7 linked regions of the Canis lupus familiaris genome follow. The protein of the gene in region 6 purifies or fractionates together with the protein of the main gene of each other region. This does not show direct contact. Links are inferred from orthologs where the notes say so. Each region holds a gene or a part of one and is shown on either strand. Other genes may lie near its edges.

Region 1 (3,500 bases), on a different chromosome or scaffold from region 6:
GATCCCCAAGAATGATGCCCCCAACAGGTTCTGGGCCAGAGAGCATAGAAGGGCCTTGGGATTCAGACAGTAGAGGCTGTGGAGGGGCCTAGAGCTGAGGATGGTGGGATAGGAGGTACCCATTCAGGATCTGCTTCTCCCTGCAGGTTCTGGGCCTCTGTAGAGCCCTACTGTGCTGATATCACCAGTGAGGAAGTACGCACACTAGAGGAACTACTGAAACCCCCAGAAGATGAGGCTGAACATTACAAGGTAGAAACCCTGGGCCTCAGTAGACGGGGGTGAGTGAGAGGGCTCAGAGGTGCCTCGGAATCACAGATCCCAAAGTCATGTACCATCTTCCTTCCCCTGCTCTACCCCTACTTTGCTTAACCCACCCAGACACCTAGGCTCTAATTCTCGGCTCTCTTCTTACATTGCCTCCTCTACCCCATCCGGATGATCACCACATACATCCTAAAGCATCTACTTCAGTGACACTGTCCTTTGTCCCAACATCTCTATCACCTCTGCTTTGATTCAAGCCCTCATTAGTTTTCACCCAAATAGTCTCTTAATACTTCTCTGCCTCCAGAGGAACTTTCTGTTTTCTTTCTTTAATATATTAATTTTATTGTGATGTAAATAAAACAGGTTCCATTAAAGAAAATGTACAAAATACAGAAAACCGTCAGGGAGAACTCCAATAGGTCAGCTACTGTGATCGGATGTGACCCAACCCTGCTCCCACGCATCCCCTGGCTCCCATAACACACAAGGTGGAGTCTAACACCTCGGTCCTTGGTGACTCAGCCCCATGGCCCCCTGCAGCTTCCTCAGCCATGCCCCCTTGTCACTGTTGGATTTACTACCCCACCAAGCACCTTGCCCTCACCCAGGCCCACCAAGGCTCCTTACTAACCCCTGGGCCTCTACACATGCTCTTTTTCCCTTACCAAACTAACTCATCCTTTAAAGCACTGATCCCTTGTTATCTCCACCAAACACTTTTGCAGACTCCCCCCAGAAAGTTTCTCTGTCATGTGCCACAACACCTTGACCTACTTCTAGCACTTGAGTTCTTTGAATTTTTTAAAAAATGTATTTGAAATAAAAATTATTTATTTATTAAAAATAAAAATTATATAGGTAGTAGTAAATTTAGGTAATAACAAATGAGAACTTCCTCTCTTGACACTAAGGCTCCTGGTTCTCTCTAGGGACAACAGCTGTGACCTGAGATGGTCCACATAGGTATACCATTCTGCACCTGTATCTTGGAGATTATTACGTACTGGCTCCCATGTGTGTCTTAGTTGGTTATGTACCTGTCTCCCTTGCTAGATTGTGAGCATAGAGATTTTTTTTTTTTTTTTGAGATTTTTATCTCCTTCATTTCTTCCCACATACACAAGGCTCAGACTTCAGCCCTGGGGGTAGGTCCTTGGGAGACAGCAAAGGGATGGATGATGAGCCTATTAGCAGTGCCCAAGTGCACAGAGATCCCCCACTCACCCTGGGCATGGCTTGCCAGTGCTTACTCGTTTTCGGCTGGGTGGCATCTCCCCACAGATCCCACCCCTGGGGAAGCACTACTCCCAACGCTGGGCGCAGGAGGACCTGCTGGAGGAACAGAAGGATGGGGCCCGAGCAGCAGCCGTGGCTGACAAGAAGAAAGGCCTTATGGGGCCACTGACTGAACTGGACACTAAAGGTAGGCCCCTCACCTCCCTGCCCACCCCAGACCAGGACCTGAGTTTGCAGAACTCAGCCCACCTGTCTACTGTTTCTCTGCCCACTTCAGATGTGGATGCCCTGCTGAAGAAGTCTGAGGCCCAGCATGAGCAGCCTGAAGATGGGTGCCCCTTTGGTGCTCTGACGCAGCGCCTCCTACAGGCCCTGGTGGAGGTGAGCACCCTAATTCAAAACAAGGATTATGTTTACTTACTGTTTTAATGTTTTATTTTGTGTTGAAGTATATCATGCATTTAGAAAGGTAATGTAGATCTTAAAAATGTATAGACTCATAAATTTTCACACATGAGCACACTTGTATACCTGGTCTCCTGATCACAAAATAAAGCATTGCCAGTATCCTGGAGCCCTTCTCATGCCTCTCCCAGACTCTAACCTCACCTAAAAGTAGCCACTACACCACAGTTACTTTTGTCAGCCTTAACCAGTATGCTGGTTAAGGGCTGAGCCCCGTGCAAGGGCTTTCCACACATCCTCTTGTTGGAGGCAAGGACAGTGGCTAGCCCCGTGTTGCATACCAGAAGATTGAAGCTCAGAAAAGGGAACTGTTTGCCTGAGGTTGTACAGCCAATAAGTAGAAGCCAGGCTCAAACCCCAGGTGCAGAGTCCCTTTCTTTATGCCTTCTTTCTTTTTGTCTGGCCTTAGGCACATCTTTTACCTCTTTAAGCCTTGGATTTCCCCCGGCTCCAACACAGTAGTGTTTTTCTCTCTCATGGAATAGTCTGAGCTATGTTCCAAGTTGGCTGAGGTGGAAGTGAGGGAAGATCTCAGCCCCACACCATCACACAAGGACCCCGGCTATGGGGGCTTTGCCACCCTAAACATGCACTCTGCACAAGGGTCATTCTAGGTGTGATTGCTGCTCCAAGCCCACAGAAAAAGAGCAAGGAAGAATGTGAAGGAAGGTTTATGGGCCATGACTGACTGTGGCTCTTATCTCTTCTGATCACTTTTCACTGGAGAGAATTGGTCACGTGACCACATCTGACTACAAGGGAAGCTGGGAAGTATAGTGTAGCTGGGCAGCCATAAGCCCCACTACAGAAAGGTGAGAATGGCTTTTGGACAGCCAGCAGCTCATGCCGCAGCAAACTTAGCACAGTGCCTGGTCAATGCAAAAGCTTAGCTCTTCTCTTTACTGTTGTTGAGTGTTATCATTGCTCTTCTGTGCTCCCTTCTTTTGGTATCAGTACAAAAACGGGATTTCTACAATGATCAGAGCTTTCTGGTATCAGTTTGAGAAGGCTTCCCAGAGGATGGGAACAATAAAAGAATATTTCTGTGAAGACTGAAGACTCTAACTGCAGGTTAGAGAGGAACAAGAAGATGGAAATGCTGTAACTCTTACTCCCTCCATCCCATTCCTGTGGTCTTCTAGGAAAATATCATTTCCCCTATGGAGGACTCTCCTATTCCCGACATGTCTGGGAAGGAATCAGGAGCGGATGGGGCAAGCACCTCTCCCCGTAATCAGAACAAGCCCTTCAGGTGAGTGACAACTCTGTCCATATCCTACTATCTGGCCCCTGCCTCTATTGACTTCGTCACATCCCAGCATGGGGAGGTCTTCATTAAAAGAGTTGAGGGCATTTTGATGAAGCCGCATAAAAGTTTCATTTTTTAAATATATATATATATTTTTAGTATTTATTTATTCATAAGAGACACAGAGAGAGGCAGAGACATAAGCAGAGAGAGAAGCAGGCTCCCTACAGGGAGCCCTGATACAGGACTCAATCCCAGGACCCCAGGATCATGACCTGAG
Region 2 (3,022 bases), about 51 Mb from region 6:
TCATGAGGAAAGGTGAGTACCCATGCAGGATGGCCATCTGGGGAGGCAAACATGAAAACGGAGGCAAGAGTTGGCCTGGGCCATCTGGGGCCTGCTCTGCAGCCGGGACCTGCAGCCACCTTCTCCTCCACCCACAGGCATCTCGGGGGACTGGAAGACCACCTTCACTGTGGCCCAGAATGAGCGCTTTGATGCCGACTATGCCAAGAAGATGGAGGGTTGTGGCCTCAGCTTCCGCACACAGCTGTGAGCAGTGCCCCCAGGAGGCACCCAAAGGCCCCGTGCTCTGACACAGCCAGCCCCCAGCTTCAAAAATAAAATTCCATTGGTATTACACTGAGAGCCTTTAATGCAAGCAAAAAGCAAACCTGAGCTGGAAGGAATTCCCCCTGGGATCAAATGAAGCTATCTTCCCTCCCTCCAGCTCTCCAATTCCCCAACCTGCCCTGGTATGGGGAGGGGCAGAAGGGCCTGGAAAAACAAAACCGAGGAGACGTGGGCAAAGGGGAACAATATTTATTTGCCACAATCTTTTGTTGCATTCCCCTGGGGGAGTGGCAGGAGATCTTGAGTCTGCCAGCCCACTTCACTTTTTCTTGGGCTCCTTACAAGCCACCACGTACCTCTGGGCCACATTGAGGGGAGGGGAGTAACCATCTGCATAGGAGGTGTCTTCAAACAGGACTGAATAGTCATCCTGGGGCTGCGGCAGGGGGCAGACAGGAGGGGCTAGTCAGAGACCCCCAGGCAAGGCCCCCCAGCCCAGACTGACAGAAACCTCTGGTACACGGGCTCCCAGCCTCTCCTGTCCCCATCTTCACTCAGAATTTAGTTCCTGCTATGACACAACCCTATTCTCGGCAACAAAGTGCCAGGGGACAAAGAGCAGGGAGGAGGAAGATTCGCGGTCTACGTTGGGGGGATTCTACATGGAGAGTCTGGTGCCTTTTGGGGACCCTCTAAGAAGGAGATCAGGGAAAACACCGAGGGCAGCAGGCAGGGATCCTGGAGGAAGCAAGCAGAGCAGCCTTGAAGCTGCCATCAGGTGTTGGGTCACCAGCACAAGGGAGCATGGCCTCAGATGAAGAAAGGCCAGTGGTGGATGAGTCAAGGCAGGGAAGACAGGTCCTGGGCACAGTGCTTCCCACCTCAGGGCTGCTCGTCTCAGTGCAAAAGTGGGGTGAGACTAGAGGATATACTGGTTCCATTCCACTCGGGGTTTGCTAGGACTCTGAGGATTAGCTGGCACTGCCTTAGGGGACAGGGCTTGAGGGCCCCTATGGGGCAGAGTAAGCAGGAGAGAGGGAGAAACTTGCAGGACTCTCTTAGCTCAGAGGGGCTGTCAGATGAGGACAGGAGGGGAAAAAGTGGAAGGTGACCCCAAGACCATCTGGTCAGCCCAGTCCTGGTGTCATGGTCTGTCTCCCCTGCAGGGGTTACCTTACCCGTTGTGGGGGCGTGTGGATCAGGGCACGGTAGAAGCAGGTGGTCTGAGGATACAGGGCCAGCACGAGCTGCTCCTTCTGAAATAAGGCTTCGGGGTCTGTCTCTGGGTTGGCTTTCCACTGGGGCAGAGGGATGATGCGCCGCCGGCTCAGGGTATGTCTCCTGGAAGGGGGGCTTAGATCAACCCACAGCCAGGTGGGAGGCTCCTTCCCAGCAGCTTCCATGGTCCCTCCCTGCCCAACACTCACTCTTTGCCTTCTTCATCAATGTCATCTACCTCATACCTGGAGAACAAAGAGAAAACAGAGGATGCAGGGAGATGCACGGTCCGAACCGGAGAGCGATGAGGAGGGGAAGCATCCCAGGGAGCTGGAGTCACACATCATCCCTGTCCCCACAGGGACCCTGGAGTGGGGTGGGGGGCTCTTCTCCCAGCCTACAGATGGGAGAGTCCACGGAGGGCCGGGTGTCCACTTACTTGTTGGTGGCGTGGCTGTAACTGACCACCTCAGCCAGGATCCACTGCTCATCCCCATCCACGGCCTTGACCCGGGCAGCCACCTTGTCTCCAGGTTTGGCCACGTAGTCCCCAGAGGCTGGAATGGCCCCACAGAGGGGTGGGGGCCTGAGGATGAACTGAGAGGTTAGTCCCAGCCCCTCCCTCCTGTCAGCTCCGCCCCTTGACCCCGGGCCTGCCCTCACTTGTCACCAGGTTTCCCGATCCACAAGGGCAGGGTCATGGCCGACTGCTGCAGCAGCGTCATCAGCACCCCCCTGCGCATGGTCTTCCGGGGGGGCTCCGAGTCATTGTACAGGCCCGCGATCTTGGCCGCTGCAGGAAGGAAGCGCGCCCCTGAGGCCCCAGAGATGGGGCTCCTGCCCCGGACCCTCGTTTGTACCGGTGCACGGAGCCATCAGTGGAGCTCAGCCTGGGGCCCACCTCCTTAATTACCACCAAGGGCCCCCCAGCAGATGCTTGCCGTCAGAGGCCCAATCTGCTCTCACAGATCTGGTAGATGTTGCTCTCAAGATCCCCTTGCAGGGAAGGAACCAAAGAGGGCAAAAGAAGGGTTCTGAGGTACTGGTCACATCTGTTTGCTTGGTTAGTGAAAATTTCATAAAGTTCTCTGTACAGTTAGGTCAGTCCTCTACTGAGTAGATGTCATTCAATAAAAAAAAGAATGTAGACAGTCTCCTGACCTTCTCAGGCATGGCTCAACACACTCAAAGTTGCACAAAGCCAACTGGCAGTGTGACGTTTTGATAGGCAAGCAGCCTGCCTACTGTGGGTTCACTGAAAGGGTAAGAGAGGTGGGAGAGCCACAGCAGTCTAAAAGTTCAGATTTGGAAGCCAACACCCTCTGTAAACTCCCATCTGAAGGATGGTTCTCACAAAGCAGCAGGTTGCTTACCGCAGCAAGAAGTGTGAGTGGGGGAGGGTAGCAGGAAGGAGGCTACTGCCTCAGGTACAAGGGGGAGAGAAGCCTTAGGGGACGGGGCACAATCTTCCAAGTCTGTAGAGGGTCACTGAGAGCCCCTGCCTCTTAGCGCTGGTAATGACCTCCAACCCCTCCCA
Region 3 (4,096 bases), on a different chromosome or scaffold from region 6:
TGGCCTTACTATTCATTTATTCAACAAATGTGTATTTTAAAAATATTTATTTATTTGAGAGGGAGCACGCACTGCACACATGTGCTTGTCTGAGGGGGAGGGGCAGAGGAAGATGAGGGTGGAGTGGGGGTGGGGGGGATGGAGAGAGAGAGAATCTCAAGCTGACTCTCTGATGAGCAGAGCCTGAGGAGGGTCTCTATCCCACCACCCTGAGATCAGGACCTTGGTAGAAACCAAGAGTTGGAGGCTCAACCGGCTGTGCTAGGCAGGTGCCCCTAACAAATACTTTTTCTTTTTATTTTTTTAAGATTTTATTTGACAGAGAGAGAGCATAAGCACAGGGAGTGGCAGGCAGAAGGAGGCAGAGGGAGAAGCAGGTTTCCTGCTGAGCAGGGAGTGGACTCCATCCCAGGACTCTGGGATCATGACCTGAGCCTAGGGCAGATGCTCAACCCACTGAGCCACCTAGGCACCCTTCAACAAATACTTTTTGCATGCATGCTAAATTCTTTAGAACAATTTATTAAATTTAAGTACATCCAAAAAATTGATGACATAAATAGTATAAAAAATTATAAGTGAACTCTCTCTAAACCTACTACTCAGCTCCAGGGGTAAATTTTTACACAGTGAGTTGAACAGATTGAAGGAAGACAGAGACAGATCCCTGGAGAGCTGCAGCAGTCTTGGGCAGAGAGATGATGAGGCCTCAGGCAGGATGTTACAGGAAGAAAGAAAGGGAAAGGTGGGCTCAAAAGATACTTAGGATTTGATGGATGGTCACTCACTAGTTGTATAAACTAGTGAAGTCCCAACCTTTCCGAGCCTCAATTTCTGCATCTGCATAATAGGTCAGTGATAACTATTGTTATCCGTATCCCTAGCACCTAACACAAAGCTTGGCACAAGATGATAAACACACACAAATCATTACTACTGTTTTAGACCTGTGGGAGGTTCATCTACGCTGGGAGAATGAATATCGGTCTGTCAGACCGGAGGCTGGAACTCGCCATCTTCTAGGGAGGAATATGATAAATGACGGTGCCTCTGCCAGAACGGGCATCCAGGCTCCCCAGGCAGTGCGGCAGCACCAGTCCCCATCAGAGTCCGGCCGCCGCCAACCCCAGCTCCAGCCCTGCGCGGGGCCCAGCCCCCGCGGGAGCCCCGGCCCCGCCCACATCCCTGCAAGCCCCGCCCCCGGGCCGCGCGCGCGCCGCCGCCGCCGCCGCGCACGCGCGCCTCGCCCCGCCCCTGGTGCTGACGTGCGAGGCCGAGAGGGACGGACGGGCGGGCTCCGCCGAGCCGTGTGCTTCCGCGGGCTCCGGGGTCGCTGGGGCCTCGTGGCGGGGCGGCTCCGCGGGGCTTCGCCCGCTCCCGCACCTCCCTCGTGCCCTCTCGCCGCGCCCGGCGGGCCCTGCGCTTCGGCCGGAGACCCGGGAGAGGGTGAGTGTTGGCGGGAGCGGGGTCGGGCCGGCCGGGCGCGCGCTCCGCTCTCCCGGGCATTGTCTGGGCGGGGGCGGCGCGGGCACGTGCGCTCCCCTCCCCCACCCTGCCCGCCGCGCGGCCCCGGCGGGCGGGGGAGGGGGAGGGAGCCGGCGACTGCGGGCCGCCGAGCACCGCGGGGAGCGGGCCGGGTGAGCGTGCCGGTCGGGGGCGTCTCCGGAGCGGGAGCCTGCAGCTGCGTGTGTGGGGTCCTTCCTCGGGGCTCAGCGCTCTCCGAGGGCGGCGGGGTCAGGGACCCCCGGGGCTGGAGCTCTCGGCCTGTTGGGCTCGGTGGCCTGCGGTGGAGACGGAGACGAGATTTGGCTCCAGCACCGGCAAGTTGTGGGTTTACCGACAGGCACCGCGGAGTCTGCTTCCAACCTGTCGCCATCCTTACGGTCCTCCCTCGCGAAGGATGAGTGGGATTTAGAAAGGTTGGAGGATTTTCCAGGCATACGCTCCAGTTAGAAGCACCAGAGGCGTGACACAGTGCGGGGTGACAGCGGAAAGCTTGGGAAAGTGAGGACTTGGAGGAAAGGCTGGTTTGGTGGGTTGTGGCCGGATTGCAAAAGACAATGAATGAGGTTTATATCATAACCTTGTCTTCTATCGTGAGTGTAATCAGGGTAAAGAATAGAAAGTAGAGGAGGAAAATATCACCAAATAACCCCACGGCCCTGACACCTCTTTCTTAGTGTTCTGGATGTGTTTGCTGGTATTTTCATCTGAGCTTGTAACAGTTGCAATTAGAGTTTACTTACAATTTTCCATTCTCTTTTCTCCTTATGGTGTTAAAACGAGATGTAATATACAGTATTCGGCAGTATCCTTTATTCTTAATAAGCAAATAGCAAGTATTCATCATAGAAAAATGAAGAAATATAGACAAGCAAAATGAGGAAGAGTATTCATAGTTCTGCTGCCTCGAGATATTGCGTATTTTTGGTTCTGTATATTCTTTCAAAGATAGTGGGGCAGATAATGCCCTGGTTAGGAATTTAGTTTTCATACGAATCCTTTGAAGGTTTTAAGAAGGCAGGTAGCATAATCTGACTGCTCTGTAGAGGAAGAGGGTGAATATGGGAGCGGGGAGATCAGTTAGGATGCTGTTTGCAGTACCTTGAACTAGGTCCGTGGCAGCGAGATGAAGAGTACAGAGATTTAAACATTATTTTGGTTGTAGAATGAACAAGACTTGTGAGTGGGTTAGTGGGAAAATAGGAGACTTCTTTACTTTTTTTTTTTTTAATGTGTTTTTAAGGATTTGTTTATTTGAGAGAGAAGGATTGCTTGAGTCCTAGAGAGCAGGAGGAGGGGGCAGGGGTGGGGAGGAGAGAGAGAGAGAGAATCTCCAGTAGACACTCTGCTGAGCGCGGAGCTGAAGTGGGGCTCTATCTTTTGGCCCTGAGATCATGACTTGAACTGTCAAGAGTCGAATGTTTAACATACTCGGTCACCCAAGCACCCTTTTATATATTTTTTAAAATTAAGTTAAACTCTCTTCCCATCCTGGGGCTTGAACTCAGGTCTCTGAGATCAAGAGTTGCATCCTCTACTTACTGAGCTAATCAGATGCCCCAAGAATTCTCTCTCTTTTTTTTTTTTTGGTAGTTGTTTTGAGCAGCTATGGGTAGATAGTGACATTTACTGAGAGGGAGAAGAATGGAAGAGAAACTTGAAGGGGGAAAAATCACGAGTTCTGTTTTGGGTATATTAAATGTGAGATGTATATCAGTTATGAAGTTGGTATATTGAGGAAATTGGATGTGCAGGTTTAGAGCTCATGGAAGAGAGAGCTAGGAGCTGTTAGATAAAACTTTGGAATTCATTACATAGATGATATTGAAAGGTATGGGACTGCATGAGATCACCAAGGGAAAGAATATAGATAGAGAAGTGAAAATTGACACTTGATCGCTAATACTTCGAGCTGCAGTATGGGAAGAAGATTGAACATAGAATGGAAGAAACAGCCAATGAGGTAGGGAAAAAAGGCAGAAGACCAAAAGGTGTCATGGAAGCCAGGAAAAATAAGTTCAGAGAGGATAGAGGATGTCCATCCCTGACTTTGAGATGTTTAGTGAGATGCTCAATTGGATTTGGAGGTTGTTGGTTTTGTTATTGGTATTATTATTTTTAAGATTAAAAAATTTTTAGTGATCTCTACACCCATCGTGGGGCTTGAACTTAAAACCTGGAGATCAAGAGTCTCATGTGCCACCAGCTGAACCAGCCAGGCACCTCTGGTCATTGTTATTATTATCCAGAGTTCTAGAAGTGGGAGATGGAAACGGGATTGGAATAATTAATTGATTGGGGCTTGAGGAAGGGAAGATAATGAGTGTGGATTAGAAAAACCTGGGCCTTTTTCGAGATGCCTTATTTCCATCTGCTCCCAAACTAAATTTGGTAGGTGAAAAATGGTGTCTTGTTTAATTTTTCATTCATTGATTACTAGAGTGTTTGAACATTTTTTTGTTTGTTTGTTTGAACATTTTTTAACATATATTTGCCATTGGTGATTTTCTGTATCCTGTGTATATCTTTTTGTGTTTATCACTTTTGGGAATTGATTATCAAGAGTCCTTTTAGATCTTGAAAACATGTAGTT
Region 4 (2,247 bases), on a different chromosome or scaffold from region 6:
TTGAGCTGGCTCTGAGTGCAGCCCCTAGAACAAAGGATCTGACTGTGGTCAGATCTCCGATGCAGATTCTAACTGTGCACGCACAGTCTTCTAGAGACTATTAGGCTTCCTTTGGATTCTCACAGGGATCCGCATCCCCATAAGTTAAGAATCATTGCTCTTAATTAGATTGAAGCTCTGGCCATAGATAGTCACAAGGAAAGATTTTTGAGAACATCTGATACTTTTGGAAAAGCTCCTGCTCGATCCAAAAAACCCCACCTGACAGTCCATCTCTAACACTCTCTATAAACCAAAGAGCCTGGTCCTGCAGACCACACAGGCTCTGTCCCCAGCTGGCTCTACTTCCACCACCCACACCTCCAGCCAGGAGCACAGTCTCACTGGCAGGCAGCTCAGACACTCCAAGCCCAAACCAACTTCCCAGACATGGGAAGGATGGGTCTCCACCCTCCGGCCAAAGCTCCTGACAGGAGATGTAACAGAACAGGTGACACACATGTGGACACACATACTCTGTTTATTTGGACTGTGGCCAAAGTCAGTGAAAGACAGCAGAATCTCAGTGCCCTAGAGAAGTCCTCTTGGGTTCAACAACAGCTCACTCATGGCTGGGAGAGTGCTGGCCTCCCCTCGTGCGCTAACTCTCCCATCGGCCCTGACCGGCTAGAGCATCAATCGTTCATGGCTACCACACTTCCTCATCCTTTCAATGAAGAGATTCTCTCGAGGAGGGTATCAGCTTAGATACTCCTTTGTTCTTGCAAGCTGTCGGATAGACAGCATTGTTCAGTTCCAGTGAACTGTGGAGTCCTGAGACAGGGGCCAAGGCCTGTGCAGAAGGGACAGGTTTGCTGAAGGGCTGCTCGCTTCTTGATTCCACTGCCCCACCACCCATCTAGCCTTGGGTGAGAGATCTGAATGGCCGTCTGATGGCAGAGATTAGGGCCCTGGGAGACAGGAGCACCTGCCTGTGGGCCGGAATGAGGAGCCACCTGGAACAGCACCTGCGTCTCTGGAGCGCTGCATTCACCTCAGCGCCGGAGCCTCAGGAAGAATGCGTGTTTACACTCTGTACTCTCCAACGGGTAATATTTATCATAGAAATCTAAGACGTATTCTTCAGTCTTGAATCCAAACTTCTGGTAGAGCAGCATAGCGGGGTTGCTTGCTGAGACGTGAAGGGTCACATCCTTGCCCATGCAGGTCTGCCAAAAGAGTGGAAAAGTACCCGGTGAGAAGGAAAGAGCCTGAGGGAGATGAGTAGGTGAGGGAGTCTGTGAAGTGTAGGTAGGTGGTTATGACAACCGGGGACAGCCGGGACGGCAGCTGGGAGCCACAGCGCTGGGGACAGCTGGGAGCCCCAGTCTGTGGCCCAGCCACACACTCACTGAAGTGTTCGAGACTAAGGAAAGGATAGTGTGCTGCGTGTTTTTGCTCTCTGGGACAAAGGGCCCAGAGGGATAGTTTATTGTCAACAGATTATTTTATTTATAATTCAATTACACTTCCAAATACCAATACCTAGCACTGACAATCCTGAAGGAGAGAACAAGACGAGAAGTTCTGCTTTCTAAAACCGATGTTAGCTTGTACTCAAACTTGTAAAAATGCCCTTCCTAGACCCACCAGAAAAGATGCTAAGTATGAGGCTGGATACAAGGTATTAGGACTTTTAATTAGTTATGAAAGCTGAAGACTTGGTATGGACCTTTGGAATCCCACAGGCCCCCTCCCATCCATCCCAAACTAACATTACTGGAGTAATCTTCATTCTATTAATATGAGGCAAGTTCTTAAGATTCTTTAATTAGCTACACAGAAGAAAGAACTCAAAGTCATATAAATATAAACTAAGACCTAGCTTTCTTTTTTTTTTTTTTTAAATTTTTAATTTATTTATGATAGTCACACACAGAGAGAGAGAGAGAGAGAGGCAGAGACACAGGCAGAGGGAGGAGCAGGCTCCATGCACCAGGAGCCCGACGTGGGATTCGATCCCGGGTCTCCAGGATCGTGCCCTGGGCCAAAGGCAGGCGCTAAACCGCTGCGCCACCCAGGGATCCCAAGACCTAGCTTTCTGATGAGGAAGGCACTGAAGTACTGAGGTTGACAGGGTCCTTGAGATTTGGTAACCCACAGTTCCCCCAGGCATAGATTTAAGTAAGGGACTCTCAGGTAGACAACTGCACTCTTTTCTCTGCTTCTCTTACATTGTGCGCCCAGTGGGACTGCTATGAGTGCATT
Region 5 (4,062 bases), on a different chromosome or scaffold from region 6:
CAAGCCATATTTTAAAAATTAATTCCCAGCAAAAAGGGTGAAAAACCTTCACCCACCTTGCTGGGCCCTGAGCAGACACACTATTCCAAAATGAGGAACCTATCTGTGGAGCTAAGTCTGCACTAAATACTCTTCAGATGCTAAGACAGGCTGCCCAGGCCCCTTTTGTCCATGTAATCCAAGGCCCCACCTTCAAGGGTGCTCCCTACTGTTATCCTCCTGGTAGGAATGCAGCTCAGGCCAGGCAAACAAAATGCAATTTTCTTCAAAGAGCCCTTGAAACGTAACAAAAAAAAAAAAAACAACCCTAAACCAACCCAAATTACAGGAGACTGAGCTTCAGGGTGTAGAAATTTGGGAACTCGTCCAAATCCTCACAAGTGATGCAACAGTGCTTAACTACCACGTTTGAAAATATACAAGAGCAGACACCCCCCCACCCCCCACCCCCCGCCCCACAGCGGTCTGCATCTCCCAGGGGGCTTCCCTGTCGTCTGGTGTAGACACAAGGCCGCCTCCAGAACCCTGGCAGCTCAAAAGGCGCTCTGTCCCTCGTGAGGCGACTACAAGACACAGCTGAGAAGTGCAAACCAGAGCCAGCCCTGTCTGCTGCTGAAGCCTGAAGTGTACACAGATCGGCTGCAAGCAAGCTCTCGCTGCAGGAGGGGAAAGACCGCAGCTCAATTAGGTTTCAGCGTGACAATGGGAGCTACCCAAGCTGTACAGCAAGCGACTCATTTGCTCTAGCCCAGGAACAGATTCCAGATCCTAGATGCGTCTCCTAGAAGCACACCTGGTGACTCTGAAATGGGGGAACCACCATGGTGTTCTTGCAGACATCACTGGTCATCCAATTCCTGGAAGCTTGCACCACTGTTAATCTAATGGTGTACACGGTGTAAAATTCTAGCTTGGCACTTAAAACTGAAAGCTTGCACGACTCCTTGTCACACCAAGGCAAAATGGAAGTCCATCAAAAAAAAGACCACGTCTTAAAGTCTTTATCCAAAAGGGAAATTACAATGCAACATACTTGTGCAGAGCACAGATGTGGTCCCACTGGCTACCTGTATATAGCAAGGACTTGGGCTTATGCCCAAGGATGGATCCTGCTGCACCCAAAGGCCAAGTCCTGGAGCAGGTCACATAATCACGCCCAGATACAAAAATGCTGGCACAAAGCTGGTGCTCAGCAAATACTAGCTGGTTTGTGAGTAAATTTAGTGCAACCCGGTCATGCCAATTAATCCGAGTGCTGCCTTGCTCTAGGTGGATGGACAAGTGGGGGGCGGGGGGAAGCTATGGAAGACAGCTGGAAAGACTGACTCACAAAACCTAGTATCTGAAGAAGGTATCAGCAAGAGCTAGGAGAGGTGTGGGGGAGAAACAGCAGTGGGAACAGAAGAGACTTCCTCTGGGGGTGACCTGGGCAGCTCAGGGAACCCAGAGCTGCTCCTTTTAACATAAAAATTGAGACCCGCCGGGAGGTGGAGTGTGACTCCCAGCAAACTACCTGCCCTCAAGGTGAGGACTAGAGAATACCACAGCTAATCTCACAGAAGAGGTGTGCGAACCCCTCCCAGCTCCATCAAATCCAATCTGCCAATCCCTTGGGCTAGCAAAACATTAATGTGCAATTTCTTGACTCCATGCCCCCAGTTTCCATTCAAGAGGAGGGAAAGCCTTGCATTGTCCGCGATGCTCAGGGAAAGCAACGGGGCAGCTGCTTAGGGACCGGCCTCCAGAGCACACGCCACCTGACCCCTCTGGGCCCTCACAGGCCTTTCACCCAGGTGAGCCTGACCATCCCAAACCGGGGTGCTCACCTGCACTGCTTGTAAAATGCAGATCCCCGGACTCCACCCGAGACTGGCCCACAGGCAGGTAACCCGGTGACCCGCAGGTGGCCGGACCAAGGGGGCGGGGTGTGCCGCTCTCCCCGCCTGTTTGTTCCGCGCGGAGCTTCCAGCCCAGCTTACCTATCTGCCTTCTGGGAGGGGGCCGGGCCGACCTCGGAGGCAGCGTGTGGCACAGCAGCTGCCAGTGCCGAAGCGCCGGGTAAGGGACCTGGGTGGGCAGAAAGCGGCATGAGAAGGCCACAGGGAGTGTCTCTGCCGTCACCCAAAATGGCTGTGGCACAGCACACTCAGGCGGCGCGGGGCGCTGCGGAGCGGGGTCCCCGGCTGCTGAGGGCGAGCCGCACCTGGGCCCGGCCGCCCGGGCTGGGGGTCAGCAGCAGGGCGCGGCGGGGGGCGTTTCCGCAGAGAGGGGCGCCGCGGTCCGCGCGCCCGGCCAGGACCCCGCCGCCGGGTCTGGGCTCTTTCTTCGGAGCAGCGGCGGAGAGCTCGGGGAGACGCGCGCCGGCTGCAGCAGCAGGTCCCCGGCCCGGCCCGCGCGCTGTCACCGGGCCGCTGGGGGGCCGCAGCGCGGTCGCGGGGGACGCTCGGGAGGGGCTGGCCGCGAGGAGGCGGAGGGGTCGCCGCGGGGCCCGGGCGCGGGCGAGGGCGAGGGCCGCGGGGTGGGCACCGGAAGGGAGGCGGTGGGGGCGCGGGCGCGGCACCGGGAGGGCCCCGGCGGGGCTGGGCCGGGACCTGGGACCTGGGACCCGGGACCCGGGACCCGGGACCTGGGCCCGGCCCGCCGGAACACGTGCGGCGGCGGGGCGGGCCGGGGGGCAGCCGGCGTCGGCCCCCGCCCGCACCCCGTGTGCGGTCTCTGGCCCAGCGGGCCCCGCTTACCTGCCGGCCGCGGCGGCGGGGCGGGCGCTCGGGGCGTCGCGTCGCCGCCGCCTGGGCGGGAGCCGGGCCGAGCTGGACGAGGCGGCGCGGCGGGGGGGGGGGGGGGGGGGGGGAGTGCGCGTGCGCGTGCGCGGGGGGCGGGGCGGCGGCGGGGCGGGGCGAGTGCACAAAGCCGGCCTCTCGGAGGGGCACTACGGGGAGCGGCGAGGGGCACAAGGCCTGGGGCAGGCCCAACGCCTTAAAGGGACGGCGTGCAAAGGGGTAACCTCAAAGTTGGCTGGTGCAGGTCCTTCTTGTGCACTTTCTAAAAACGGAAGTATGATGATACCTCCAGGAAAGTGCCAGTGTGCCCCTCGAAAGTTCACCTCCTGAACGCGGCCTGCAGCGGCGCCTCCAGAAAGCAGCAGGGCTCGCCCCCGGGCGTGCAGGGGAGGCAGGGCCCGAGGGTTCGTGGGAGACCCTCCCTCGGGGATCGCTGCCCCTCTCCGCCGTGGCGCGCAGCTGACCGCCGCAGCCCGTGTGCACCGCAGCCGGCGGCGCTGGTGTCTCCGCGCATGCCCGCCCCGGAAGCCAGGACCGGAGCCAGCAAGGTTGAGGGTGCCGGCTCCCCTGCGCTTCGCCCCCCCCCCCCCACCCCCAGCTCTCCTGCGCGGTCTGCCGGCCACCGCCACCGCCACCGGCAGAGAGCCCCGGCCAGGGACAGTGCAGGGCCGTCCTACCGGCAGTCACCAGGCGCAGGCCGCTCTGCTGTCTGCAAGGTGGGCTCCAGGACAGTTTGTCATGGCCGGGTACACACGAGGAAGGGGAACCCCAGAGGAGAGGGCTCGTGCAAACGGAGAGCCTGCAGCCCGCCTTCTGGCCCAAGTCCTGTGTGTTCTCATCCCGTTGGGGGGGGGGGGGGGGACACGACAACGACACGCGGGCCTTACAGTCCTGGAGGCAGTCTTCAGCTCCCAGGCCCCAACCCCCATCCCAGGCAGCATCACCTGCAGTCTTATTTCCCAATTAAGGACGGAAACACCAAATATGTGGCAGGAACCTGTGCTAACAAGAGGACATCATGTAAAAAGGAAATGCCCAGGGAACAAGGTGTGTGGTTGTCCAGGACACAAGCTGAGACAGGCTGCTGGTCTGCAGGCCACTCCCAAGGAGCATCGTGTGGCGCCAAGTCTCTGGCCCTGGCGTGGCGCTGTGTGGATCTCTGTTCCTGGGAGCCTAGTCACCTTGGGCCACCTTTGTTACAGAAGTTAACAAACCAGCACAAGATGAAGAAGGACCCTCCACCTGGCCACCTGGGCTGGAATCTGAGCCCATGTGGGCACTC
Region 6 (4,145 bases):
ATGGTCCATCTAATGAATAACTACTCTTAGCTATCACCTCAAAAATCAGAAAGATTTTTCAAAGATAATGCCTATAACTTTTTGCTCCACTATAATTACCAAAGGAGTATGGTTTATTTTGGGAATTGAGAGACTGGCAATCCTCCATTAACATCAACATTCTAGTTGATATTTATTATCATAATATTTAGTTTTATTAATTGAACAATTTTTAGGAAACTGGTCATGATACCATATCAAACCAAAGTAAAAGGCAAAAAAAAGAGCAAGAGCAACTGAAAGTGTTACCAATATGTTTCTTCTGTCTAGAACATAAACATGAGTTGCTTAGTAATGGTTCAGACTATCCTTGTCACACAATCCTTTTAAGACAAATTTCCTCAGTTGAGCAATTACCACTATAAGGTTAAAAGTAGGAGAGTGAAACATGGGGACCCACTTATGCAATTCTTAATATTTGTGTTTTGATGCTAAATTCTAATACATACTGCCTTAAAGGGATCTCTTCTTTCTTCCCCATTAAGAGAAACAGATATATGATAGATTAACATAGATACAAAGACAGAAAGCTGAATGAATACATACTTAAAAAAAAAAAACAAAACTGAGGAGAAACAAAAGTCGAGGAATTTCATAATGCCCCCTTCAATCAAAAATACCTAAAATGTCAAAGATAGGTATAATGCTCTAGAGATTCCAACATACTTAATCATTAATCATTTCATTTATACCCCTGTTGGGAAGAGTGGGAAAATATATCATTGCTAACCCATTCCCTATTGCTCCATACTCATATGAATTGCCAGGCAGACTGCACAATATACCATGCAGAATAAAGAATATAAATACAAGTTACCCCCCACCCACAAAAAAATATCAAACTACAGTTGTCTTCACTACTGCAAAACTAAATAACTTACCTGTACAACCAAAGATCTATCATTGTGGAAATATTATCTCTTTTCCTTATATCCTGAAGGAGTTGGAGCTATGATCTAGAATAGAGCTTAAGCATCAGGGTTTCAGACTCTCAGCTTCAGCCACGGAGAATACTAGAACCTCCCAAAATTCCTTTCTTTAAAATAAAATAATAAAAAAAAATTAAAGAAACAAATTAACTTATGCTAATAGACTTACCCCTTCTATAAGAGGAAACAGCAGATAACAGAATATCTATTCATAGTAACATCTTTGATATTTCTTAGCAACTCTGTAGCCTCAGAGATACCAAGAAACTGGAAACAGATTTTTAAAAACCAACAAAAACAAAGCAAAAAGAGCTTGAAATATACTGAATCCTCATAACAACTCATTATTAGTTTGCATCCAAATGTCACTCCATTCTTCTCTAGAGTCTGTGGGCAATATTCTTTTGCGGTGACCCAAAGACTGCCTTTAATAAAATTTCTCATATAGAATTTATTATCTCTTACTCTTATATTCTAGAGCCCTACCCAAACTTTGGCCTTCAAGTATTCAAAACTAGGGACTGACCAACAAAAATAATTTAAGTCATGCACACCAAAGAATCAACTAAGTCTTCAAATATCTATATGATAACTTTGATGACTACTAGCATTAAGATTTTATTACAAAGAGAAATTTCTATTATTTTTGGTGTATGGATTTTCAACTAGGACAAAAGGAATAAGGATTTTTAGCTTTAAGACTCAGTTGGCCAGGTATTTTAATTAATCTAATTATACTCCCATTTCTTGGACAGTCTGGTTAATTAAGAGTTTTATTTTATAACAATGCATTATGATATCCTTTTCAGAGAATCTGGCTAAATGGTTATTATGACTGCCCATTTGGAAACAAGGAGGAACACCAGAAAAAGACGAGTGATGTGTTTATATGATGCATATTGTCACTTTACTATAAAAATGAAAGAAGGTATTTTAAAAGTGACACTATTGTCACAGTGAAGGATTACAATTTTAAAAATGATACAGTTAACAAACCTTGTAAACTAGAGTTACTGCCTAGTAAAAGTAAACAGATTACAGTTTTAGTCAGCTAGGAGATCAGTACTAATATCTAGTATCTACAGATGCAACCTCTCCCAAATATGGCCTGTAAACTCTTGAAAACCACAAGGTAGGAAAATTGTCTAAATAAAATCATTTAATACATTAAGAAATATTCTAAATTAACATGAGGAGTGTGTACAGTGAAAACATGATCCTATAAAAAGTAACCCTTAACTTGAAAATGCACTCCTCTTACAACAAAAACTCCAACAAGTGCCAACTCCTCTATACCCAACCTTGAAAGCCTTTCATGGCAAAACATTACATTCCACAGTGTGTGGTGGGAGTGGCAAACATCAGAGGCAGAGGATCTACAGTTTAAGATATGTCTCTGAGTATACATGGACATTCCATTCTAGCACTTAATTCCAGTTCCAGTCCACCTTCTACCCATTGTGGATTGGGTTTACTATAGGAACCTCACTCATTATGATAGTTACAAGGCAAGTCTATCTGCAACTGTCATTTTCACAGAAGAACTGATACTTACAGCTGAGTTCTACCAGTATTAAGAAAGACAGGATCACCCAGATGTTTCTTAAAAAGCCTGATACACTGAAAAAGAAACTTTAGTCAATTACTTCTACTAACTAAAGCCCGCTTGGCCTTAATTAAGATTACATTTTTCTTACCTTTTTAAAAGTGTTTTTCGCCTAGTATTTGATTCCCAAGCGTCTGTATTTATCTGTCATCACTGTTAATGTCCATGTTACATTGAGACTTCAGGTATTAATTATTTATATGGATGTACTAGCACAACTTGATATCTGTGAAGGGAAACCACAATATAGTCACTATAGATGTGTTACTGTTTACAGACTTGTGGACAAAAGTGCTATTTCTAAACACTTTGATAACACACTGTATTTTTTTTTCACACTGTATTTTCTAAACTGTACAAATAATTCCTTATATTAGGCTGCAAAATAAGTGCAATCTTCAATAGACTAAGATAATTTGCTAACACTCTTACAAATGCTTCTCAGAGTATCCACATATTTTAATGTTTCATTCTAAATTAAGATTCTTACAAATTTGACAGCTCCTTAGATACGTTTTCTGACTACCAATGTAGATATAACTCATTTTCCAGAAGCCTATAATTACTCATGCATTAATAGAAAAGTATTTTGTGTGTGTTTTACAATACTAGGGAATAAATCTATAATGGTTAAAAATGCAGTAAAACAGATCACAACTTTCTCCTTAAATGTGACTTTAAAATATGCCAGGTCTTTTAAAGTAATAATTTTGTCTTGTTTAGATTATCCCTCTAGAATAATTTGTGAATATTATTTTGGAAGTAAATAGAAAATAAATGTGATGTAATAAATCAAGAGATAGTTATCCAAATGTTCCCTAAAAGTAAGGTGAAAAAACATGATGATGTGGTTATAAATTACAACTCTGAGAAACATCAATGTGCTTAATATCATGACAAAAAAGCACATGATCTAAAACTTTTAAGTAATTTCAACCAACTTACTAGAAAACCATGAGCTACAAAAAACCTCATTCATCTGTATCACAGAAAGCTACGAATGGCATTTTAAAATGATTTATCACTGCATGCCATTCCAAATTCCTACATAATAAAAAGAAAAGGCAAAAATCTACACAGAAAATGCAGATAGCCAGTTCGCCTGGGTGGCTCAGCTGGTTAGGTGTCCAACTCTTGATTTTGGATCGGGTCATGACCTTAGAGTCATGAGATCAAGTCCCAAACTGGGACTCAAGCTGGGCATGGAGCCTGCTTGGGATTCTTCTTCTCCTCTCCCCCTATTTGCACTGTCTCTTGAAAGAAATGAAGGAAGGAAAGAAGGAAGAAGGAAGGTAAGAAGGAAGGTAAAAAGAATATTGATTGCCTTACACCTGTTTGTGTATAAAATTTGATACTGGGGTTGTCAACCTGCCAGATCTAACTAGTGAAAAGTTTTATTATTAATAGAGTAGAAACTAATATAATGTTATGTCAATTATGTTTCAATTAAAAAAAAGAGTAAATAGTGTTTAAGAAACACTGATCTCTACCATCAAGCACTTAAGTCTATTCATTGGTTTTACAAATGTTAAACAATGCCATAAAACTTAACACTAAGCATTAGTGATAAT
Region 7 (3,500 bases), on a different chromosome or scaffold from region 6:
GGGATTGAGTCCCACATCGGGTTTCCTGCATGGAGCCTGCTTCTCCCTCTGCCTGTGTCTCTGCCTCTCTCTCTCTCTCTGAATAAAAAAATAAATAAATCTTAAAAAAAAAATACAAATGATCAGACCATGCATCACAAAATTTTAAAAGACTGAGACTAAAAATTAGAACACAAAATCCTTTTTTTGGGGGGGGCACAGCAGATTCTCAAATCTAAAGGAGCACCTCTCTTTTGTCATCACTCTTATTTTACCTGAGATGATCCATATAATGGAATTTATAAGAATTAAACAGATGAGTCTTTACCGGAAAGACCACTCATTCCCAAAAGGGAAAGCTTGTTTTAAAAAAACCCACATCACTTCAAACAGAGACTTCCTCTTTGTGTTTAGAAGAGACTTGCCCCCCAAACAATGTGTAGCTTAATAAGCACACTTACTACAAAAATTGGTGATGCCTGCTGTCCTGTATTCCTGGAGCCTCTTGATTTCCCTTCGGAGTTCAAATTCCACTGTTTATCCCAAAAAGAATGAAGGAGAAAAATTGGAAAAACAAAATCATCATCAGTAAGCACTGGTGCTGTTGAGTATTTTCAGTAATACTGCCTTATACAAAAGACAGGGCAATTCCATGTGAGGAATCCTATTATGTTAGTGACATCTCATTAGAAATTTTACTCAAGAACTGAGAAAAATCTACTCTAGCCATCTTTTCGCTGCCATCTCCAACTGGAAAAAGCAGCTGGAATTGTCTCCCAGAAAACATACAGTAAACTGGCTGAGTTCATTTAGCTACAGAAGTAACAAATATAATTTTCTTAAACAACTAAGTTTCCCTGCTCTATTTATCCTCTAATAACAGTTTTATCCACGTAACCAAATTCTTTTATAAAACCTGTCTCTGCTATTACTTGATGTGGTCCTTTTGCAAGCAAAAGACAAAAGCTCTGTGCTCAAGTCCTAGATAGTTTCTTGACAGCTTTTCTCCTATAGGAACAAAAGAGCATTGTTTTCCATAGACCAAAGATTTCTTCCTCTGAGTGCACAGATCAGGTTGCAACTACTTGGGTTATTATGTGATAGAACATTCAAATTTGAGTGCTTTGAAACAGAGGATGAAGGAAGAGCCTGGACAATCCATTGGGTGTAGTTCTTTAGAGTGACACATAAACCAGGGATGGCACAAACTGGGGCAGGAAGTAAAAGATCAGTCACCTAGTACAAATCACAAAAAGAATGCCAACCAAACAGGGTGTTTGATGAGGACAACCGACCTGGCTCAGATAAATGCCTACAATGCCATGCAAGAAATATTTGCATGATGAGAACAGGACAAGAGCCCTGGTAAAGCATTTTCCCCAGGACTAAATTTGAGGGTCAAATACACAAATCTTGTGATGAAAAGGTATAGACTAAGCCACTTAGTCCAAATTATTTTAAAATGTAAGCCTTATGGCCTTAACAAACTTTAATTTTTTATAGTGAAAAATCAAATGAATTCTCTCAGACAGGCAAAAAAAAAAATGGCAGAAGCACTGGGGTGCCTGGCTGGCTGAGTCAGTTGAGCATGGACTCTTGATTTCAAGCCCCAAAGCCTGGGATTTGCTTCAAAATAATCCAGTTGAGGGTGAGAGAAGAGGGGGTGATAAAAATGAAAGTGGATTGGTCATGTATTAATTGCGGAGCTGGGTGATAGTTACATGGGGGTTCATTACACTATTATCTCTACCTTTGTATATATTTGAAAACTTCCATAATAAAAAGTGAGGGGAGAAACTACTAAACTACTGCTTAGCTGAGAAAAAGGAAAGCTACTGGGCTTTTTAACTCCTTCTCTTCCACCCCTGAAGTCCCAAATTTAGTTCAAGGTAATAAAGGGGAAGAGAAGACAAAAATATCCATTTATTTATTTATACAACTTCACCTAAAACATACCATTTTGTCTATTTATATCAACACACACAAACACAAATATTTGCACAAGGGTTAAAAAGCACCTACGTGCATGGCTTTCAATGAACTTGTCGTGCTCCACTGGCCCCACTATCCTTGCAAATCGCCTCATTGTTTCGTAAAGGTCTTGGACTTCCTTGGGATACCGTCGTTCCATTACTACAGAAAAAATAAAACACGACCATGCCATAGAAAAAATAAAAATCTCTACATTCTCATTAAATGGAAGGACAGACACTATTCCTAACCTGACTAATTTACCCATGACAGGAAGCAAACAGGAAAGCCAACAATGCAAAACACTAATCATAAAGATAACAGCATCACAGTGACTATCACATAGGGATATTGTTATTCCTGGAGAACTGAAGATCATCTGCATTACTGAACAGCCTGTGACCTCCACACCTCAGTCTCTTAATTTGTACAGGGGCAGGGACTGCTGGTAGTAATGGGAAAGACAAAGGTAGATCATGCATTTTTAGGAACAATGTTGGGCAAAATTTCTGGTATTAACCTCTGCAGGAAAACAAGGGAAATGCAGACACAATAATCCATCTAGAAGAGGCAGACTAGCCTATAAAAAATGTGTGATCTCTTCCATATCTACTAGAAATCTCCTTACCAACACATCCTCAAGTGAGACATTTATTTCTTCACTCTCTATAAGGGTCGTTTTGCCTTCCTCTAAGTACCACAACTTAATTTACTACTAATGAAATTATATTTTCATAACTATCATCCAAGTAAATGGTCATATATACAGGGTAGCCACAGTCAGTAACTCTGAGGATCACTAATGACCACATCCCCCCACCCCACTTTTTTTTAAGATTTTATTTGTTTATTCATAAGAGAGAGAGAGAGGCAGGCAGACGGAGAAGCAGGCTCCATGCAGGGAGCCCAATGTGGGACTTGATCCTGGGTCTCCAGGATTAGGCCCTGGACTGAAGGTGGCGCTAAACTGCTGAGCCACCTGGGCTGCCCTAATGACCACATTCCTAATAAAAAGTACTATCAGCAAAGAAGATGGGGAGTAAAACCTACCAACAATAAGTGGTAGGTTGGAGTAGCCAGGAACTGCTACTTGGTCATTTCATTCAGATGAACTAAGCTGAAACTTATTAGGTGAGTTAATCAGTAACTAAGCTAGTTCTGCTCACTTCTAGAGTATAGATACATGCTTTCCATTATGATAGTTATTTAAATTAAGTCCTCTTGGGCAGCCCAGGTGGCTCAAGTAGTTTAGCACTGCCTTTGGCCCAGGGCCTGATCCTGGAGACCCAGAATCGAGTCCCATGTCAGGCTCCTTGCATGGTGCCTGCTTCTTCCTCTGCCTGTGTCTCTGCTTCTCTCTCTCCTCTCTGTGTATTCTCAGAAATAAATAAAAACAATCTTTAATAAATAAATAAATAAATAAAGTCCTTTTTTCAGCTGAATCTCTTCCCTTGAAAGAGAGATTCTTATCCACAAAGTTCAGGTGCTGATTTCATGGGCAGCCACTGATTATTTTCACTACCAAAAAACCCCCCACAACCAAAAGCAAA

What was found.
Region 1: the proteins of ZZZ3 (region 6) and TADA3 purify together in Homo sapiens (affinity purification with mass spectrometry; 4 studies listed by BioGRID and IntAct, counting the BioPlex papers as one, with this or other methods). This does not show direct contact. The link is inferred for Canis lupus familiaris from reciprocal best matches to the Homo sapiens genes ZZZ3 and TADA3.
Region 2: the proteins of ZZZ3 (region 6) and SGF29 purify together in Homo sapiens (affinity purification with mass spectrometry; 7 studies listed by BioGRID and IntAct, counting the BioPlex papers as one, with this or other methods). This does not show direct contact. The link is inferred for Canis lupus familiaris from reciprocal best matches to the Homo sapiens genes ZZZ3 and SGF29.
Region 3: the proteins of ZZZ3 (region 6) and YEATS2 purify together in Homo sapiens (affinity purification with mass spectrometry; 3 studies listed by BioGRID, with this or other methods). This does not show direct contact. The link is inferred for Canis lupus familiaris from reciprocal best matches to the Homo sapiens genes ZZZ3 and YEATS2.
Region 4: the proteins of ZZZ3 (region 6) and KAT14 purify together in Homo sapiens (affinity purification with mass spectrometry; 4 studies listed by BioGRID and IntAct, with this or other methods). This does not show direct contact. The link is inferred for Canis lupus familiaris from reciprocal best matches to the Homo sapiens genes ZZZ3 and KAT14.
Region 5: the proteins of ZZZ3 (region 6) and WDR5 purify together in Homo sapiens (affinity purification with mass spectrometry; 5 studies listed by BioGRID and IntAct, counting the BioPlex papers as one, with this or other methods). This does not show direct contact. The link is inferred for Canis lupus familiaris from reciprocal best matches to the Homo sapiens genes ZZZ3 and WDR5.
Region 7: the proteins of ZZZ3 (region 6) and TADA2A purify together in Homo sapiens (affinity purification with mass spectrometry; 4 studies listed by BioGRID and IntAct, with this or other methods). This does not show direct contact. The link is inferred for Canis lupus familiaris from reciprocal best matches to the Homo sapiens genes ZZZ3 and TADA2A.

Annotation. Positions count from the first base shown.
Region 1 is NC_049241.1:8,526,278-8,529,777, forward strand, and holds part of TADA3 (transcriptional adapter 3), read left to right. Parts: coding exon 1-27; intron 28-146; coding exon 147-252; intron 253-1,551; coding exon 1,552-1,693; intron 1,694-1,783; coding exon 1,784-1,887; intron 1,888-3,113; coding exon 3,114-3,223; intron 3,224-3,500. UniProt on the Homo sapiens protein: Functions as a component of the PCAF complex. The PCAF complex is capable of efficiently acetylating histones in a nucleosomal context. The PCAF complex could be considered as the human version of the yeast SAGA complex.
Region 2 is NC_049227.1:18,345,519-18,348,540, forward strand, and holds the end of SGF29 (SAGA-associated factor 29), read right to left. Parts: intron 2,279-3,022; coding exon 2,149-2,278; intron 2,072-2,148; coding exon 1,925-2,071; intron 1,731-1,924; coding exon 1,695-1,730; intron 1,609-1,694; coding exon 1,446-1,608; intron 704-1,445; coding exon 587-703; 3' UTR 501-586; downstream 1-500. Other genes in the region: SULT1A1 (sulfotransferase 1A1), read left to right, coding at 1-12, 138-250. UniProt on the Homo sapiens protein: Chromatin reader component of some histone acetyltransferase (HAT) SAGA-type complexes like the TFTC-HAT, ATAC or STAGA complexes.
Region 3 is NC_049255.1:16,824,727-16,828,822, forward strand, and holds the start of YEATS2 (YEATS domain-containing protein 2), read left to right. Parts: upstream 1-1,296; 5' UTR 1,297-1,446; intron 1,447-4,096. UniProt on the Homo sapiens protein: Chromatin reader component of the ATAC complex, a complex with histone acetyltransferase activity on histones H3 and H4. YEATS2 specifically recognizes and binds histone H3 crotonylated at 'Lys-27' (H3K27cr).
Region 4 is NC_049245.1:5,323,672-5,325,918, forward strand, and holds the end of KAT14 (cysteine-rich protein 2-binding protein), read right to left. Parts: intron 1,209-2,247; coding exon 1,035-1,208; 3' UTR 501-1,034; downstream 1-500. UniProt on the Homo sapiens protein: Component of the ATAC complex, a complex with histone acetyltransferase activity on histones H3 and H4. May function as a scaffold for the ATAC complex to promote ATAC complex stability. Has also weak histone acetyltransferase activity toward histone H4.
Region 5 is NC_049230.1:50,406,160-50,410,221, reverse strand, and holds the start of WDR5 (WD repeat-containing protein 5), read right to left. Parts: upstream 2,801-4,062; 5' UTR 2,739-2,800; intron 2,068-2,738; 5' UTR 1,980-2,067; intron 1,974-1,979; exon of another isoform or gene 1,827-1,973; intron 1-1,826.
Region 6 is NC_049227.1:69,739,425-69,743,569, reverse strand, and holds the start of ZZZ3 (ZZ-type zinc finger-containing protein 3), read right to left. Parts: upstream 2,801-4,145; 5' UTR 2,666-2,800; intron 2,589-2,665; 5' UTR 2,524-2,588; intron 1,076-2,523; 5' UTR 944-1,075; coding exon of another isoform or gene 921-943; intron 1-920.
Region 7 is NC_049230.1:37,195,765-37,199,264, reverse strand, and holds part of TADA2A (transcriptional adapter 2-alpha), read right to left. Parts: intron 2,113-3,500; coding exon 2,002-2,112; intron 513-2,001; coding exon 441-512; intron 1-440. UniProt on the Homo sapiens protein: Component of the ATAC complex, a complex with histone acetyltransferase activity on histones H3 and H4. Required for the function of some acidic activation domains, which activate transcription from a distant site. Binds double-stranded DNA.